Linked DNA regions of Struthio camelus. The protein of the gene in region 1 purifies or fractionates together with the protein of each later gene. This does not show direct contact. Links are inferred from orthologs where the notes say so. Each region holds a gene or a part of one and is shown in the gene's direction. Other genes may lie near its edges. The genes, in order: RPP30 and POP7.

Evidence for each region.
Region 2: the proteins of RPP30 (region 1) and POP7 purify together in Homo sapiens (co-immunoprecipitation; 4 studies listed by BioGRID and IntAct, counting the BioPlex papers as one, with this or other methods). This does not show direct contact. The link is inferred for Struthio camelus from reciprocal best matches to the Homo sapiens genes RPP30 and POP7.

Annotation. Positions count from the first base shown.
Region 1 is NC_090948.1:20,234,963-20,244,189, reverse strand, and holds the start of RPP30 (ribonuclease P protein subunit p30), read left to right. Parts: upstream 1-5,719; 5' UTR 5,720-5,864; coding exon 5,865-5,946; intron 5,947-7,575; coding exon 7,576-7,631; intron 7,632-7,932; coding exon 7,933-7,989; intron 7,990-8,691; coding exon 8,692-8,766; intron 8,767-9,227. UniProt on the Homo sapiens protein: Component of ribonuclease P, a ribonucleoprotein complex that generates mature tRNA molecules by cleaving their 5'-ends. Also a component of the MRP ribonuclease complex, which cleaves pre-rRNA sequences.
Region 2 is NW_027182637.1:12,248-19,364, forward strand, and holds POP7 (ribonuclease P protein subunit p20), read left to right. Parts: upstream 1-5,264; coding exon 5,265-5,684; downstream 5,685-7,117. UniProt on the Homo sapiens protein: Component of ribonuclease P, a ribonucleoprotein complex that generates mature tRNA molecules by cleaving their 5'-ends. Also a component of the MRP ribonuclease complex, which cleaves pre-rRNA sequences.

The DNA of each region.
Region 1 (9,227 bases):
CCATGGTCAGCTCTTACATATTTCTTTGTAGCTTTAAACTTACAGATTTTCAGTATTAAGATTTCTTCCTTCCTGCTAAATTTATGTGAGTCCTATAACCTTTTCCTTTATTAATATTTATATTGAGTCATTTTGAACTGATTTACTATTCCATGTGTAATCTTTTCAGAAAGTAAAGGCAACCATTGCTTTGGTTTTTTTCTGCAGAGATTCCTTGAACTCTTGGATACTAGCCCATTACTGGGACACTCCAGCTTTCTCCATTCTTTAAGTCATATTCTTCCCTCCAAGCGAGGTGAAAGCTAACTGAATTGTCGGTCACAGATGGGGTACCGAAGGAAGATTAAGTCGCTTGTTTTTTTAACATGCTAGACAATAATATTTAGAAACAGGACACACCTGCTCCTGAGCATCCCCTTAGATTTCCAACAAGAGATAGAAGCCAGAGATAGAGAAAGGGAGGAAATGAGAGCAGGAGAACTGACTCCAGATGGATCAATAACTGTTGACCAATTTCAGTGACCTCTTGAGTGAGGGTAGGTCTTGAAGGTAACATTATAACAAGCACCAGCTAGAGGGAAGAACTGTTTCTGTGGCCCAGCAGTAAAAGAGGCTGCAGTATGAGCTCACATCATACAGTTATAATAATATCTGCTTTGAAGGAAGACCTTCCCAGCCATTGGGAAAAACCTCAGCTGACTCTCCCAGGCACTAGTGCAACACAAATCCACAGCAAATGAGGCTCCGATAGTTGGCTCACAGAATTTATTGTTTTAATGAAATCTTCCATTCTGTCACCATCACCTGAATCCTGAAACCAGGGTTTTCATCATATGTGATTTCACATTGGTCCACAGCACACTGTGGGGTTGGGATCAGATCAGAGGAGCCAGCTACCCCTACACAATTTGAGCACAGGCACAACCTGCTCCAGGAGGCAGGGTGAGCAGGATTTGGGAGAGTTCAATTGCTCGCTTCCCCTTACACCTCAATCTGAGTCTTGATCTGAGTAATACAATAAGTAAGTTTCACATGAGAAGTGAGAGACTTAGTTGGGCAGCTCCTTAACCATTATCAAGTTGAATGTGCTTTCCCAGTCAGTCACGCTTTCACCTTAGTTGCCTAAGTCCATTCGCAGCAAAAGACTTCCCTGTTTAATTGCTCAGAATGTGTTCATTAACGTTGAGCTTTAAGTGGCTTGCCCTTCCAGGGTGATTCCTTTGCCCTCCATCATAGTTAAGCAAATATTAAGAAGAAAAAGGTCTTTAAAATTAGAAAGGGCAGGTCAAAATAAAGCTAAACCTTAATAAAGGTTAAAGCATTAAGGCAAAGCACGCAGAAGGGAGACTGTCTCCTACTTGTGTGAATACATTCTTTTTTAAATAATGTCTGAAGTACAGCTAAGGAGAACTGGGTAAATTTTGTTCAAAATAGATTTGTATCTTAAAAGTTGATAACATGGTACAGTTTAATGCTTGCTGTAAAAGCAATTTTTCAGTTACTTAAAATGTGACTAAGGCAAGGCAAATTATAATCTGGTGCTTCCTGTAAATGTGTTGACACAGTTCATTAAATCAGTCGTTTTTCTTGACAGCTTTTCAATGTATTTCCAGAACGTGACTCTGTAAGTGTACTCAGCACACTATATGCGGGATCATTTGCATATTACTCTTACCCATTTCAACCTGAAAGGAAGATTTTAGCCTCATCTTTCGTTCTGTGCCTGAAATTCCCATACAGTCATTAAAAGTTAATCTTCTGCTTTCTTTTCTTCTCAAAGGTCATATGTTACCACTCTTTGTATTAACTCTCAAATCTTATCTCCTTAGAGACAAGTCAATTTAAGTCAAAGGGATGTTTGTACGATTGGAGGGAAAATCTGTGACACTGTGGCGAGATGAAGCAGCTGATACCTCTATACAAATCCTTCCTTGAAAGCTTTTCACTGTGACACACCTAGAATAACATTCCAGTTTCCCGGGGCTGAGCTGAATCTAGTGAGGTGCTTTCCTTGGGGATTCACAGTCTTTCATACCCCCAGCATCTGTGAAAGCAGAGAGCATACATCATCATATCATGGGATTACATCCATTCCATGTATTTAAAACTAATTACGTATTACGTTAGGAGTTGATCCTTCCAAATGTGCATCCTACTTTTGTCTTCAGTGACCCTTTCTACAAATGTGAACATGCTGTTCAAGACAGTATACAGAAATTAAACAAATGGCTGACTGGGAGTCAAAAATAACAAGCTGACATTTGTGCCCTCACAAGATATTACCTTTTCACCTACCACGAAACTTCAGTAAATTTCAGCCAATAATTTTCTGGCTGAGCTCAGTAACGTACTGTCCTTTGAGTAATTTAGACTTGTAGAAAGGCTATAAAGGCTCCTCTTCTTATTTCTGTTCATCTCTGACTCTGTGCTTAAGACCCTAGCCCCTCATTTGTTGTGCACTTAGTGAAGTTAGATCACTTCTACTGTTGTGTTTGTGTATGTACTGTTTAGCAAATAACACTCTTGTCCGACTTCTAGCAAAGATGTTACAGAAGTTTGTTCACATTTGCCTATGGGCTTTATTTGCAAATCTTATCTTTAATGTTCCTTTTTGTTATATAGAAATATTCCAAATTAAAAAAAAAAAGGTGAGGGAACCTTTTTCTTTGAATTTTCCCCTCTAAAAATAATGAACTCTTTTGTTTGATTGTTTTCTAAAAATAGTGGTAATCACATAGTTACATCTCTCTAGCATTTGTGATTCATATAAACTCTAGTTGTATCGTGTAAGAGTGGGTGATGGTACCAATTGTTTGCTACTATGTTACTGAGGTAAGGTTAGATAGAGGTAAGGTCAGAGCTAGCTAATGAAATAAAATTTCACCAGCACACGTCGATTTAGTGAGGCCAAAATGATTCTATCAAAGTATCTGTGTTGGAAGAACAATTGCTAAATCCTTGATTCCTGGTGAATGGCCCCTCTCCTGAGGACTTGGTACTTCCAGGGGCTATTGAAACAGCAGGTCTTTGCTGCCTCCAAGTACTTGGACTCAAATGGGTCAAGAAGTGCAGCACCAGGAGCTTCACCACCAGGGTAGAAACTGTTGGGCAGTAGCCCTTTTCTCCACACACCTAGGTCTGGAAAACAACAGCTCTGCTCATTTTAACATAAAGGCCTAAAGGTGCTGCAATCTTGGGTACATGGCGAGAAGGTACCACATATGAATATGAAACATGAGTTCTTGTTCTTCTTCCTTTCTTTACCATCTCCTTTTTTTCTCCTTACTTGTCTGAGCCAGTCTGTCTTCATAAATTGTCATTTTCATTTGTCTATCGTAAAAGTTTTTTCCTCTTTCCTTTTGTTTTCATTTTCTTTTTTGGATACCAATAAAGTGAAGGCCTGATGTTGGGGATAAAAAATAAAGTACAGGTATATGTTTCTCACAGGGAAATATGTTGCCAAGATGTTTAGAGTATTTTGTCACAGTCTGGGTAGAATTCTATGGACAAATATTATTGAAACCTTGATTTTTATTCCCAGCATGTACTGTTTAGCAAATAACACTCTTGTCCGACTTCTAGCAAAGATGTTACAGCTGCATTTTTCTCTACTGCCTTTTTTTATCTTTGTGAAAATAAATCATCACTACTCTATAGCAGTAAAAGAGAGAGGTAACCGTTCACATCTTTGGGGTTTCTTTTCATTGTCAAAATTAAATACATCTGTGCAACTTAAATAAATGTGCAATGATGCCTTCCCTTTTTGGGATCAGCAAATACTGACAGCAGCAAGCTGTCATCTGAAAATAAAACAAACCAACAGGGTGAAATTTATGCTAAAAATTCTGTATCACTCAAGCAAAGTTCCCATCTCTGAAAATTCAGTATGCACCTTTACAAAGGAACGATTTGAGATTATGATTAAAGTGATGGCGACATTCATGTTACTGAGTTGCTGAGATAGATAGTACCCAATAGTATCTTAGTTCCCTAAAGGAGCTGAATGCAGAAGGAAAGCAAAATAATCTGATAGTTGCCAGTGTAGGGTCCTTGGTTGAAAGCATATTAGAAGAATTGTTAGGGGTACTCAGATGGATTCAAGAGCCTATTGGTCTGCACAAAAATCACAGAAAGACTCCCCTGGCATCCAAATATACTGAGAGAGAGAACACCTCGATGAGGGAAATTGGGCTCCACTAAAAGGGCTTCAGGACACAGACAAATCGAAGCATGTTGGAGGCTTATGACTTAACAGTGAGGACCACAAAGATGTTTTAAATAGATCACTGGGGATAAACAAAAGTAGTAAGACCTCAGTAACGCAGAAAATAAGGTTTCACACTGGTCTGCTTACATCATCCATGATACCCTGGTGCTGAAAGTTGCTTCATACTCAGATTTTTAAATCGTTACAACAAATAGGGTTCTGCCGGATTTGTGAAGAGCTGTTTAAATTAACAGAGTTCTCCATTACAAGCGCCTCTAGAAAAGGTTTGTCTCACTCACATAGTGCCAGCCACAAAAGCTCCTTAGTCCTTTTTTGTGTCTCTGAGCACTACTCTGGGAGGTCTATTCCCAAATAATTGATACATGTTTATTGATTTCTTCTGTTCACTAAGATAAATGAAGCTCCATCATGCATGCACTCAGTTAAAGAAAACCTGGAATAATATCTTGAGCTCTTCCACGTTTATACACATCAAAGAAAAGCCTCAAGAATACCATTCAGGCTCTGCTAGTTGTTTAAATGACTGGCAGAGAAACAGTACTGGCTGATCTGATAGGCAAGCATCTCACGGCCATAGATGGACCAAAACAGAGCTCCTTTACTGAAATATCTTGGTATCTAATGTTGTCAAGAACTGGCTGCCTATGCAACCACAGCTGTGGCAGGAACAGGCTGTCTATCAGCTGGGCTTTCTTCTTCCTTTCACAGCGGTGTGGCAGGCAGCTGTTTCCCACCCCAGAGCTGCCCTGAGTGCCTGCTGCAGTTAACGGCAGCCCGCTGGTAATTTCTCTCTTACCACTGTTACTAGACTTTGTAACTTATCAGACTGCAAGGCCGGAAACGTGCCAGCCAGGCACGACTGTTTCTTGCTTATCCATTGCAAATTGTGGGATCTTTGGGGGAGAAATGAGTTATGAGTCTCAAAGCATAGCTGGTGAAAACTGCACCAAGCTACAGTAAGCAGGGACTGACTGAGGATTTGGGAGCATCACTGCTTTTCCTTTGGTTAGCAGCAGCTTTCCCCAGTTAAGAATTTGGAGTTCGATACCCCACAGACTTTCTCTCATCAACCTTTAGTCCAGCTTGAAGAAAGCAAAGGCTTCTCCAGCCCGGGTGGAGGCCTTGGAAAACTACTTTAAAGTTGGAAAAGAGACCCAGTTTGCTGTCTGCACCCAAAAGAACAAAGGCAGTGATAATTACCACCCGTACTTTAACTATGCTGCTGATAAACCTTAGAATGAGATTTGTGGGTTTTGCAATAGCGCCACATAACTAACATGCATCCGACTTATGGATTTATAATCCCTCAGGCCTTTTGCCGTCTAGGGAAGCATCTCTTGACACGGCAGCTTTGGCGTTTATTTCTCATTTTGTTGGCTAAGATAGGAAAACCAAGACCTTTAAAGGAGTAGAAGGGCACACTTCCTGGCAGTCAGCCTCCAGCGGCGGCCTCGCTCGACTCGCCCGGTCGCACTTCCGTTGAGCGCGGTTCCTGCTCCGCCTAGCGGGTGCAGCGGGGCTGTCCGCCCCGCTCTGCGCCCAGCGCCGCCCAGCGCGCCGCCGGCCGACTACAAGCCCCAGCTGCCCCGAGCCCGCGGGGGTGGCGGCGGCAGGAGGAGCCCGCCCCGCGCGCGGCATGGCCGCCTTCGCGGACCTGAACGTGCCGCAGGGGCCGGACAAGAAGTGCGTGCAGAGCCTGCTGGAGGCCGCGGCGCGCTGTGAGTGCGGCAGCGGGGCGGCCCCGCGCGATGGCGGCCGGGGGGGGGGGGGCTGCGCTCGGCCGCGGCCCTGGCCCTGGCGGCGCCTGTGCCTGCGCCGGGCGACCCGCGGGGAGAGAGAGGGGCGGCAGCGGGCTCGGGTGGCCGCTGGAGGGTTGGGGAGGGAGGGGAGCGGGCGGGAACGGCGGCGGAAGCGCCCGCGGTGCTGGGCTCGGCGCGGGCCGGGCTTTGGGCAGAGGTGGCGCTCGTCGGGTCTCCCCCCCCCCCCGGCTGCTCTCTGCCCCCCGTGACTTGTGGCCCTCTACGCGGGCAGTGCCGAGGCTGGGGGTCTTCCCCAGGTTGCCTCCTGCCTTGCCAGCTGTCTGTCCCTGTCCCTGTCCCAGCGTAACGCTTGTCTTCCCCCCAACGCGTGGGCTCGTTTTCCGCCTCCGGCTTGTCCCGACTCTGAGTCTTCGCTCCGCGGAGCTGCTGCGGGTCCGGTTGCCCCCAGCCAGCGTGGGGCAGGTGGTTGGTCTTTGGCCAGCGTAGGCTCTTCCTCCTCCCCGCCGTTGAGTGAGGCCTTCTCTTTGGCTTGTCCACGCCGTTTTGAGCTTAAACCTTGCCTTCTAAGAGAATTGCCTCGCTCCCAGCTTTGTGTTTTCTGCAGTTCTAGCAAGTATCCTGAATGTCACTAACCATGTCCCTTAAAGAAAATAGTTAATAGGACGACGCTAGGACTAAAGCTTTGGAGACCCTGACTGGATGACTAATTGTTGATATTTGCTCTTAGTTTTCGAGCACTTTCTTGCTGACGTTAGAGCAGTTTCCTCTCTAACGTATTTTCCTAACTTGCTAACAAGGGTGGCCTTCGAGCCAGTGTCAGCAATCTTACTGAAGGTGGGCGAGATGGTGACGTCTTTCCAGTCTGTGCGCCTCTCCTGATCCAGGGGGAAGTTATTTTGGCTTGACGTAGCGTGTTCTTTAAAAGTCTGTGTTGACACCTAGCGGGAAACGAGCAGCCTGTAAGTGGAGATTAACGAACTTCAGTCAGCCTTGTCCCTTAGAAGAGCTCTAAGCTCACATCTGGCAGTGTGCACACGTGGGATTAGCGCGGCACCGTTGCCGTTCTTACGGTGCAGCTTCACAAAAACGTCAGAGATGCGTTTTTTCCTTTTTAAGCTGCCCGAGCTTGCTTAGGTGCGTAAGCCTGAGGCTCAGGCAGCCTCGCGGATGCGCAGAATTGGGAAGTGAAGATTGGCTTAAACCATTCCTAGCCTTACGCTCCTGAAGACATCATAGACTTGCCAGTTTACTTGAAGTCTAAGTGACACACAGGGCTGGCGTCTCCTGTATCTAATTCCGCCCTGGCCATGTGAACGGTCCTGCCCAAGTAATCGCTTGTGTCTGAAAAGCTCTGCCACTGAGTAAACGTTATTAAGACTGGGATGCGTTAAAAGGCAAACAGAATTTTGTGTTTTAAGACGCTCTTTTTGTGACTTAATCGCTAGAGAATTGTGATGTGGAAGGAAAATATGCATATCATTATTAATTTTGAGACATTTATGCGCTGAGCTTATCAGGCTTCTGTTTGGATTTGTTTCTATTAGTTTACTGGACAAAACATTCTTACAACCTGTTTGCCTTTTCTAGTGGGATATTCGACAGTTGCTCTTAATCATGTCATCGATTTTAAAGAAAAGAAACAGGTAACTTTTGTTGGGGTATTTGTTCTTAGTATGTTTTATTTTGTAAAACTACGTGGCTTATTACATGTTCCCAAATAGTTTTCTCTTTAGAACGCTTGTCTAGACGTATATACAAATGCCTCCGTTTGTGACAAAACTCCAATTGTATAATTCAGTATTACTGCATTGCGGTTGATATTTAGTATGGTCCATAAACTGTCCTTGGTAAATAGTTTTTTTTCTATGAAAACAACCTTTGTTTATATTCTAAATGCAATCCATTATATTTTGAATAATTTTCTTTCTTTGATTCCCTTTTAAGGAAATCGTCAAGCCAGTATCTCCTTCAGAGTTGTTTCCATCTTTGCCTGTTGTACAAGTATGTCAATCTACATTCCACCTACATATTCTAAGTTTTATGTTTTTACCTTGGTGTGTTAGTGTATGCAATTTTGTGTATTACATGTTAATCAAAAAAGAGAAAATTTTCCATTGCTTAATTGTTAAAACCCCCAACATTAGAAGCATTAGGCACTCGCTTTAGATGACACTCTAGTTTTTAATTTTATAAATGATTTTAAAAGTTGTTTGATGTGGATTTAAGCTTCTTGTAGTTGAATAATTATAGTGTAGCACTTGAAACAAAAGAGTCTTGAGTTCTGGAAATGGCTTCCTGGTTTTGTTGGAGCAAGATCTTAATATAATAAACCAAGGCTATATTTCAAATCACTGACATGTTAATTCAGGAGTTACTTTTGCTCACACTTGTAGCCAGCCTGGGCAAGCATAGTGGAATTAACAAAACGTGCTCATTTTTTCTGTCTATTTATTTAAGTATTTCTTTCAGTTCACCCTTTCTCAAAGAAATGCTGTAAGTCCTTCTTTCTGAAGGGCGGATGTGATACTGAACAGATCACTGTAAAACAATAAAAATAAAATGTAACTACAGACTTCTAGAAAATTAGTATAGGCAAGCATATGAGCAAGGCACCATTTTCTCTGTAAAGCAAACAGGATGAAATTCACCATAAATTTTTGCTTTGCAGCTCTTAAAGACTTTTGTATTATTTCTTCTTTGTAGGGGACATCTAAACGAATTAAAGTCTTAAACCGGCTAACACTTGTTGTTTCTGATCCTTCCCATTGTAATCTCTTGGTAAGTATATTCAGTGTATTAATTTTCTGAATTCTGTTTCCTCTCCCCTGCAAAACTTCCAAAGTTTCATTCTTTCTTTGGGAAGAAGTTCATGGATTTCATAGGACACTTATCACTGATTTTCTCAGACTGCATCTTTAGAAGGTAATGTGATCATGAAGAGATGCAGACTTGAATCTAGAATGCAAGAATCTAAAATTCCTGATGAGAATGCCATGAGAAAGCCCTGCAATTTTTGACATTACTAAGTCGAAAAGTGGGAGTGCTTAACTAGGTGGATGGGACAAGCTTCAAAATGACCTCAGAGAACTGCTCACATCAGAGACCTACCGTGTAAAATTGTTAGACTCATTGGATGATTATTGGCTTTGCTTTAGTACTAGAAAATGGAAAAGTAATATTTCTTCTCGTTACTTTGGTCGTAATCATTGTGCATATGTTTGGCATCTGCCAGAAGTCAA
Region 2 (7,117 bases), on another chromosome or scaffold:
CCCCCCCAAACCGCCCCCAGGTCAGCCGGACCCCCCCAAACTGCCCCCAAACCGCCCCCTGGGGTGACGGGACCCCCCCCAAACTGCCCTCAAGGGTGACAGGACCCCCCCAAACCGCCCGCTGGGGTGACGGGATCCCCCCCAAACCGCCCCCAGGGTGACAGGACCCCCCCAAACTGCCCCCTGGGGTGACGGGACCCCCCCAAACTGCCCTCAAGGGTGACAGGACCCCCCCAAACTGCGCCCTGGGGTGACAGGACCCCCCTAAATTGCCCTCAAGGGTGACGGGACCCCCCCAAACTGCCCCCTGCGGTGACGGGACCCCCCCAAACCACCCTCAGGGGTGACAGGACCCCCCGGCTGCCCCCTGGGGTGACGGGACCCCCCCCCGGAGGGTGACGGGACCCCCCCGCGGGCGCCCACCTTGCTGCCCTGGACGTAGAGCGCCAGCATCTCCTCGCGCCCGTAGCGGTGCTCGGCCCGCCGGGGGGGGGGCGCCGGGGAGGGCGGCGGCGAGGCCGGGCCCCCCCCCGCCAGCGCCCGCAGCCTGCCGCACCCCGTCACCGCCTGCCCCACGGCGGGACCCCCACGGCCGCACCCCCCCACGGCGGGACCCCCCCACGGCCGCACCTCCCCACGGCGGGACCCCCCCCACGGCCGCACCCCGTCACCGCCTGCCCCACGGCGGGACCCCCACGGCGGGACCCCCCACGGCCGCACCCCCCCACGGCGGGACCCCCCCCACGGCCGCACCCCGTCACCGCCTGCCCCACGGCGGGACCCCCACGGCGGGACCCCCCACGGCCGCACCCCCCCACGGCGGGACCCCCCCCACGGCCGCACCCCGTCACCGCCTGCCCCACGGCGGGACCCCCACGGCGGGACCCCCCCATGGCCGCACCTCCCCACGGCGGGACCCCCCACGGTGGGACCCCCCCCCATGGCCGCACCCCGTCACCGCCTGCCCCACGGCGGGACCCCCCCATGGCCGCACCCCCCCCACCCACAGCGGGACCCCCCCACGGCCGCACCCGCACCCCACGGCCGCACCCCCTCCACGGCGGGACCCCCGTCACCGCCTGCCCCACGGCGGCACCCGCGCCCCACGCAGCCCCGAGTGTCCCCCCGGCCCCACGGCTGCCCCAAGCGCCGCCTCCCTCCCGTCCCCGTCCCGTCCCGTCCCCGTCCCCGTCCCGTCCCCGTCCCCCTCCCGTCCCCCTCCCCACCCCGTCCCCCTCCCCTGTCCCCGTCCCCCTCCCCACCCCGTCCCCCTCCCCTGTCCCCGTCCCGCACTCACCACTCCGGCCCGAAGTTGAGCGTTTCGGCCGCCATCGCCGGGGTCTCGATCGGCTCCTGCACGGCCCTGGGGGGAGGCGAGGGGGTCGGCGGGAGCCCGGGACCCCCCCGACCACCCCCGGGACCCCCTGACCGCCCCCCAACTACCCTGAGCCCCCCCCGACTGCCCTGGGACCCCCCGACTGCCCTGCAACTACCCCTAGACCCCCCCAACTGCCCCTGGAACCCCCCAACTGCCCCCCAACTACTCCGCGACCCCCCCGAGTGCCCCCTGACTACGCCACGACCCCCTTGGGACCCCCAACTGCCCCGGGACCCCCAACCGGCCCCCCCAGGCTCACCCCGAGGCGGCTCCGGCCCGGCCGGGGGCACCGGGGCTCCGCGGGGGGCAGGGACCCGGCACCGGGCTCCGGCGGCACCTGCGGGAGGGACCCAGGCGTCCGGGGGGGCCCAGGCGTCCGGGACAGGGGACCCAGGCGTCCGGGGGGGCCCAGGCGTCCGGGACAGGGGACCCAGGCGTCCGGGGGGGGGACCCAGGCGTCCGGGGGGGCCCAGGCGTCCGGGACAGGGGACCCAGGCGTCCGGGGGGGCCGAGGCGTCCGGGGGGGGGACCCAGGCGTCCAGGCTTGCTCCAAGCCCCGCACTCCCACCTCCCCGTCCCGGACGCCTGGGTTCTCCGTGGGGGGGGGAGGGGGGTGTTGGGGGTCACGACCCAGGGGTCGCCATGGGGATGCGGGGGGGGGGGTTGACCCAGAGTCACCATGGCAACCGGGGGGGTCTCTCGAGCCGCCGTGGCGACAGGCCCAAGGGCAGCGGCGGGCTGGGGGGGCGCCTCCATGGCAACGGCTGCGGGGGGGTTCCAGAGTCTCCATGGAAACGGGGGGTCTAAGGTCATCATGGCGACAGGTGGGGGTGCTCTAGCGTCTCCATGGAGACCGTGGGGGGGTTCCAGAGTCACCACGGAGACGGACGAGGGGGCGGGGCGCCGAGGGGGTTCTAGAGCCTCCGCGGCCAGGGCCCAAAAAGGGGGCGGTTCTAGAGTCTCCATGGCAACAGGCGGCGTGAAGGGGGGCGGGGGGGGGTTCTAGAGTCACCATGGCAACGGGCCGGGCCGGGGGCTGTAGAGCCACCGTAACAACAGGCCTGGAGGGGGGCGGCACCGGGGTCTCCATGGCGACAGGCCGGGGGGGGGCTCTAAAGTCATCATAGCAACGGGCCTGGGCGGGGGGGGGCTCCCCATGGCAACGGGCCGGGTGGGGGGGTCTCCATAGCGACGGGGGGGCGGGGCCCCGAGGGGTCTCCGCGGCGACGGGGCCCGGGAGGGGGAGGGGGGAATCCGGGGTCTCCATGGCGACGGGGCCCGTCCCGTCCCGCCCCGCTCCCGCGCCCCCCGCCCCCCCCTTACCGGCGGCCGGGGTGGGCGGGGCCGGGGCGGCGGGGCGGGGCGGGGCCGGGCCGCGGGGGGCGGGGGGGCGGGGGGGGCTCCGGGTCTCGCGCCGCTGCCGCCGCCGCCGCCGCCGCCGCCTCGCCGCTTGTTTGTGTTTGTAACCAAGATGGCCGCCCCGCTCCGCGTCACGTGACGGGGGAGCGCGGGGGAGGAGGGGCGCGGCGTCACGTGACGCCGGAGCGCGGGGGAGGAGGGGGCGCGGCGCGGCGTCACGTGACGCCGGAGCGCGGAAGGCAGGAGGGCGCCCCGCCCCCCGCCGTGACGTCGCCGCCCCGCCCGCCTCCCGGCCCAGGCCCCGCCCTCCGACGGCGGCCGTGACGTCAGCGCGGGCGCGATGACGCCAGAGCGGTGCGGGGGGTGGGGGGGGGCGCAGCGGCGTCACCGGCGCGCGCGCGCGACCGGGGGGGGGGGGCCCTTCTCCGGCGTGACGTCACCGCCGGCGTCAGCGCGCAGCGCCGGGTCAGGGGTCAGCGGCGGGCTCCCAGGGACCCAGGCGTCCGGCGGGGGGCGGGGCCAGCGGCGGGGCCACGCCCCCGGAAGCGGAAGCGGCGGCGGCGGCGGGGACGCGCCGAGGTGCGGGGCGGGGGGGGCGGCTTGGGGGTCCCAAGGGCAGGTTGGGGGTTTTAAGGGCATCTTAGGGGTCTCTGGGGGCGGATTGCGGGTCTCGGGGGCAGGTTGGGGGTCTCGGGGGCGGCTTGGGGGTCCCTGGGGGCAGGTTGGGGGTCCCTGGGAGCGGCTTGGGGGTCCCTCAGGGCGGATTGGGGGTCCCAAGGGCAGGTTGGGGGTTTTAAGGGCATCTTAGGAGACTCGAGGGCAGGTTGGGGGTCTCAGGGGCGGATTGGGGGTCCCTGGGGCAGGTTGGGGGTCTCGGGGGCAGATGAGAGGTCTCTGGGGGTGGGTTGGGGGTCTCAGGAGCAGATGAGAGATCTCTGGGGGTGGGTTGGCGGTCCCTGGGGGCAGACTGGGGGTCCTGGGGGTGGATTGGGGGTCCCAGGGAGCAGACTGGGGGTCCTGGGGGTGGTTTGGGGGTCCCAGGGATCAGACTGGGGGTCCTGGGGCTGGTTTGGGGGTCCCAGGGAGCAGACTGGGGGTCCCGGGAGCAGACTGGGGGGCCCTCAGGGCAGACTGGGGGTCCTGGGGGTGGATTGGGGGTCCCAGGGAGCAGACTGGGGGTCCCAGGGAGCAGACTGGGGGTCCTTGGGGCAGAGTGGGGGTCCCTCAGGGCAGATTGGGGGTCCCAGGGCTCAGACTGGGGGTCCTGGGGGCAGAGTGGGGGTCCCTCAGGGCAGACTGGGGGTCCTGGGGGTGGATTGGGGGTCCCAGGGAGCAGACTGGGGGTCCTGGGGGCAGAGTGGGGGTCCCTCAGGGCAGACTGGGGGTCCCTGGGGCAGACTGGGGGTCCTGGGGGTGGTTTGGGGGTCCCAGGGAGCAGACTGGGGGTCCTGGGGGCAGACTGGGGTTCCTGGGGCAGATTGGGGGTCCCAGGGAGCAGACTGGGGGTCCCTGGGGCAGACTGGGGGTCCCTCAGGGCAGATTGGGGGCCCCAGGGAGCAGACTGGGGGTCCTGGGGGTGGTTTGGGGGTCCTGAGGCTGGTTTGGGGGTCCCAGGGAGCAGAATGGGGGTCCTGGGGGTGGACTGGGGGTCCCAGGGAGCAGACTGGGGGTCCTTGGGGCAGACTGGGGGTCCTGGGGGTGGTTTGGGGGTCCTAGGGAGCAGACTGGGGGTCCTGGGGGTGGTTTGGGGGTCCCAGGGATCAGACTGGGGGTCCTGGGGGCAGAGTGGGGATCCCTCAGGGCAGACTGGGGGTCCTGGGGGTGGTTTGGGGGTCCCAGGGAGCAGACTGGGGGTCCCTGGGGGCAGACTGGGGGTCCTGGGGGTGGTTTGGGGGTCCCAGGGAGCAGACTGGGGGTCCTGGGGGCAGACTGGGGGTCCTGGGGGTGATTTGGGGGTCCCAGGGAGCAGACTGGAGGTCCTGGGGGTGATTTGGGGGTCCTAGGGAGCAGACTGGGGGTCCTGGGGGCAGACTGGGGGTCCCTGGGGCAGATTGGGGGTCCCAGGGAGCAGACTGGGGGTCCTGGGGGTGGTTTGGGGGTCCCAGGGAGCAGACTGGGGGTCCTGAGGATGGATTGGGGGTCCCAGGGAGCAGACTGGGGGTCCTGGGGGCAGACTGGGGGTCCTGGGGGTGGTTTGGGGGTCCCAGGGAGCAGACTGGGGGTCCTGGGGGCAGACTGGGGGTCCTGGGGGTGATTTGGGGGTCCCAGGGAGCAGACTGGGGGTCCTGGGGGTGGTTTGGGGGTCCCAGGGAGCAGACTGGGGGTCCCAGGGAGCAGACTGGGGGACCTTGGGGCAGACTGGGGGTCCTGGGGGTGGTTTGGGGGTCCCGGGAGCAGACTGGGGGTCCCTGGGGCAGACTGGGGGTCCCAGGGAGCAGACTGGGGGTCCCGGGGCAGCTGCGCCCCCGCCGGGGGTCCGGCCGCCCCCTCACGCCCCATCTCCCCCCCCCCCCCCCGCAGCAGCAGGATGTCGGAGGCGCCGGCGGGAGCGTCGCAGCCGCAGCCGCAGCCGAGGGCCGCGCAGGCGCCGCGGCCTCGCCGGGGCCCGGCCCCCCGCCCCCCGCCGGCGCCGCCCGGGGCCCCCCCCGGCGCCGACGTCTTCGTCAACATGCGCACGGACTTCCGGGCCCAGCTGCGGCGCTGCCAGCGCCTGCTGGCGCCCGGCGCCCGCCCCGAGATCCGCCTGCACGGCCTGGGGCTGGCCGTCACCCGCGCCATCAACCTGGCGCTGCAGCTGCAGGCGGCGGCGCCCGGCGCCCTCCGCCTCCACGCCAGCACCTCCACCGTGGCCCTGCCCGGCCCCGGCCCCGGCCCCGGCGCCCTGGCCCGCGCCCGCCACAACTCCGCCATCCACATCCGCGTCTGCCGCCACGGCCCCCGCCCCTGAGCCCGCCCCGGCGCCTGCCGAGGCTCCGGCGCCTGCCGCCGGCACCGTCTGAGCTGCCGCCGGCACCGCGGGGACGGTCTGAGCTGCCGCCGGCACGTTGTGAGCTACTCCGGCACCGCCGGGACGTTGTGAGCTGCCGCCAGGACGTTGTGAGCTGCTCCGGCGCCGCCGGGACATTGTGAGCTGCCGCCGGCACGGTCTGGGCTGCTCCGGCACCACCGGGACGGTCCGAGCTGCCACCGGGACCGCCGGGACGTTGTGAGCTGCCACGGGGACAATCTGAGCTGCTCCGGCACCACCGGGACGGTCCGAGCTGCCACCAGGACCGCCGGGACGTTGTGAGCTGCCACGGGGACGTTGTGAGCTGCCACGGGGACATTGTGAGCTGCCACCGGCGTCGCCGGGACGTTGTGAGCTGCCACGGGGACAATCTGAGCTGCTCCGGCACCGCCGGGACGTTGTGAGCTGCTCCGGCACCACCGGGACATTGTGAGCTGCCGCCGGGACGTTGTGAGCTGCTCCGGCACCGCCGGGACGTTGTGAGCTGCCGCCGGGACGTTGTGAGCTGCCGCCGGGACGTGGTGAGCTGCTCCGGCGCCGCCGGGACGTTGTGAGCTGCTCCGGCACCGCCGGGACGTTGTGAGCTGCCGCCGGGACGTTGTGAGCTGCCGCCGGGACGTTGTGAGCTGCTCCGGCGCCGCCGGGACGTTGTGAGCTGCCGCCGGGACATTGTGAGCTGCCGCCGGGACAGTCTGAGTTGCTCCGGCACCGCCGGGACGTTGTGAGCTGCTGCCGGGACGTTGTGAGCTGCCGCCGGGACGTTGTGAGCTGCTCCGGCGCCGCCGGGACGTTGTGAGCTGCTCCGGCGCCGCCGGGACGTTGTGAGCTGCCGCCGGGACATTGTGAGCTGCCGCCGGGACAGTCTGAGTTGCTCCGGCACCGCCGGGACGTTGTGAGCTGCTGCCGGGACGTTGTGAGCTGCCGCCGGGACAGTCTGAGTTGCTCCGGCACCGCCGGGACGTTGTGAGCTGCCGCCGGGACGTTGTGAGCTGCCGCCGGGACGTTGTGAGCTGCTCCGGCGCCGCCGGGACGTTGTGAGCTGCCGCCGGGACGTTGTGAGCTGCCGCCGGGACAGTCTGAGTTGCTCCGGCACCGCCGGGACGTTGTGAGCTGCTGCCGGGACGTTGTGAGCTGCCGCCGGGACAGTCTGAGTTGCTCCGGCACCGCCGGGACGTTGTGAGCTGCCGCCGGGACGTTGTGAGCTGCTCCGGCGCCGCTGGGACATTGTGAGCTGCCGCCGGGACAGTCTGAGTTGCTCTGGCACCACCGGGACGTTGTGAGCTGCCACCGGCGTCGCCGGGACGTTGTGAGCTGCCGCCGGGACGTTGTGAGCTGCCGCCAGGACGTTGTGAGCTGCTCCGGCGCCGCCGGGA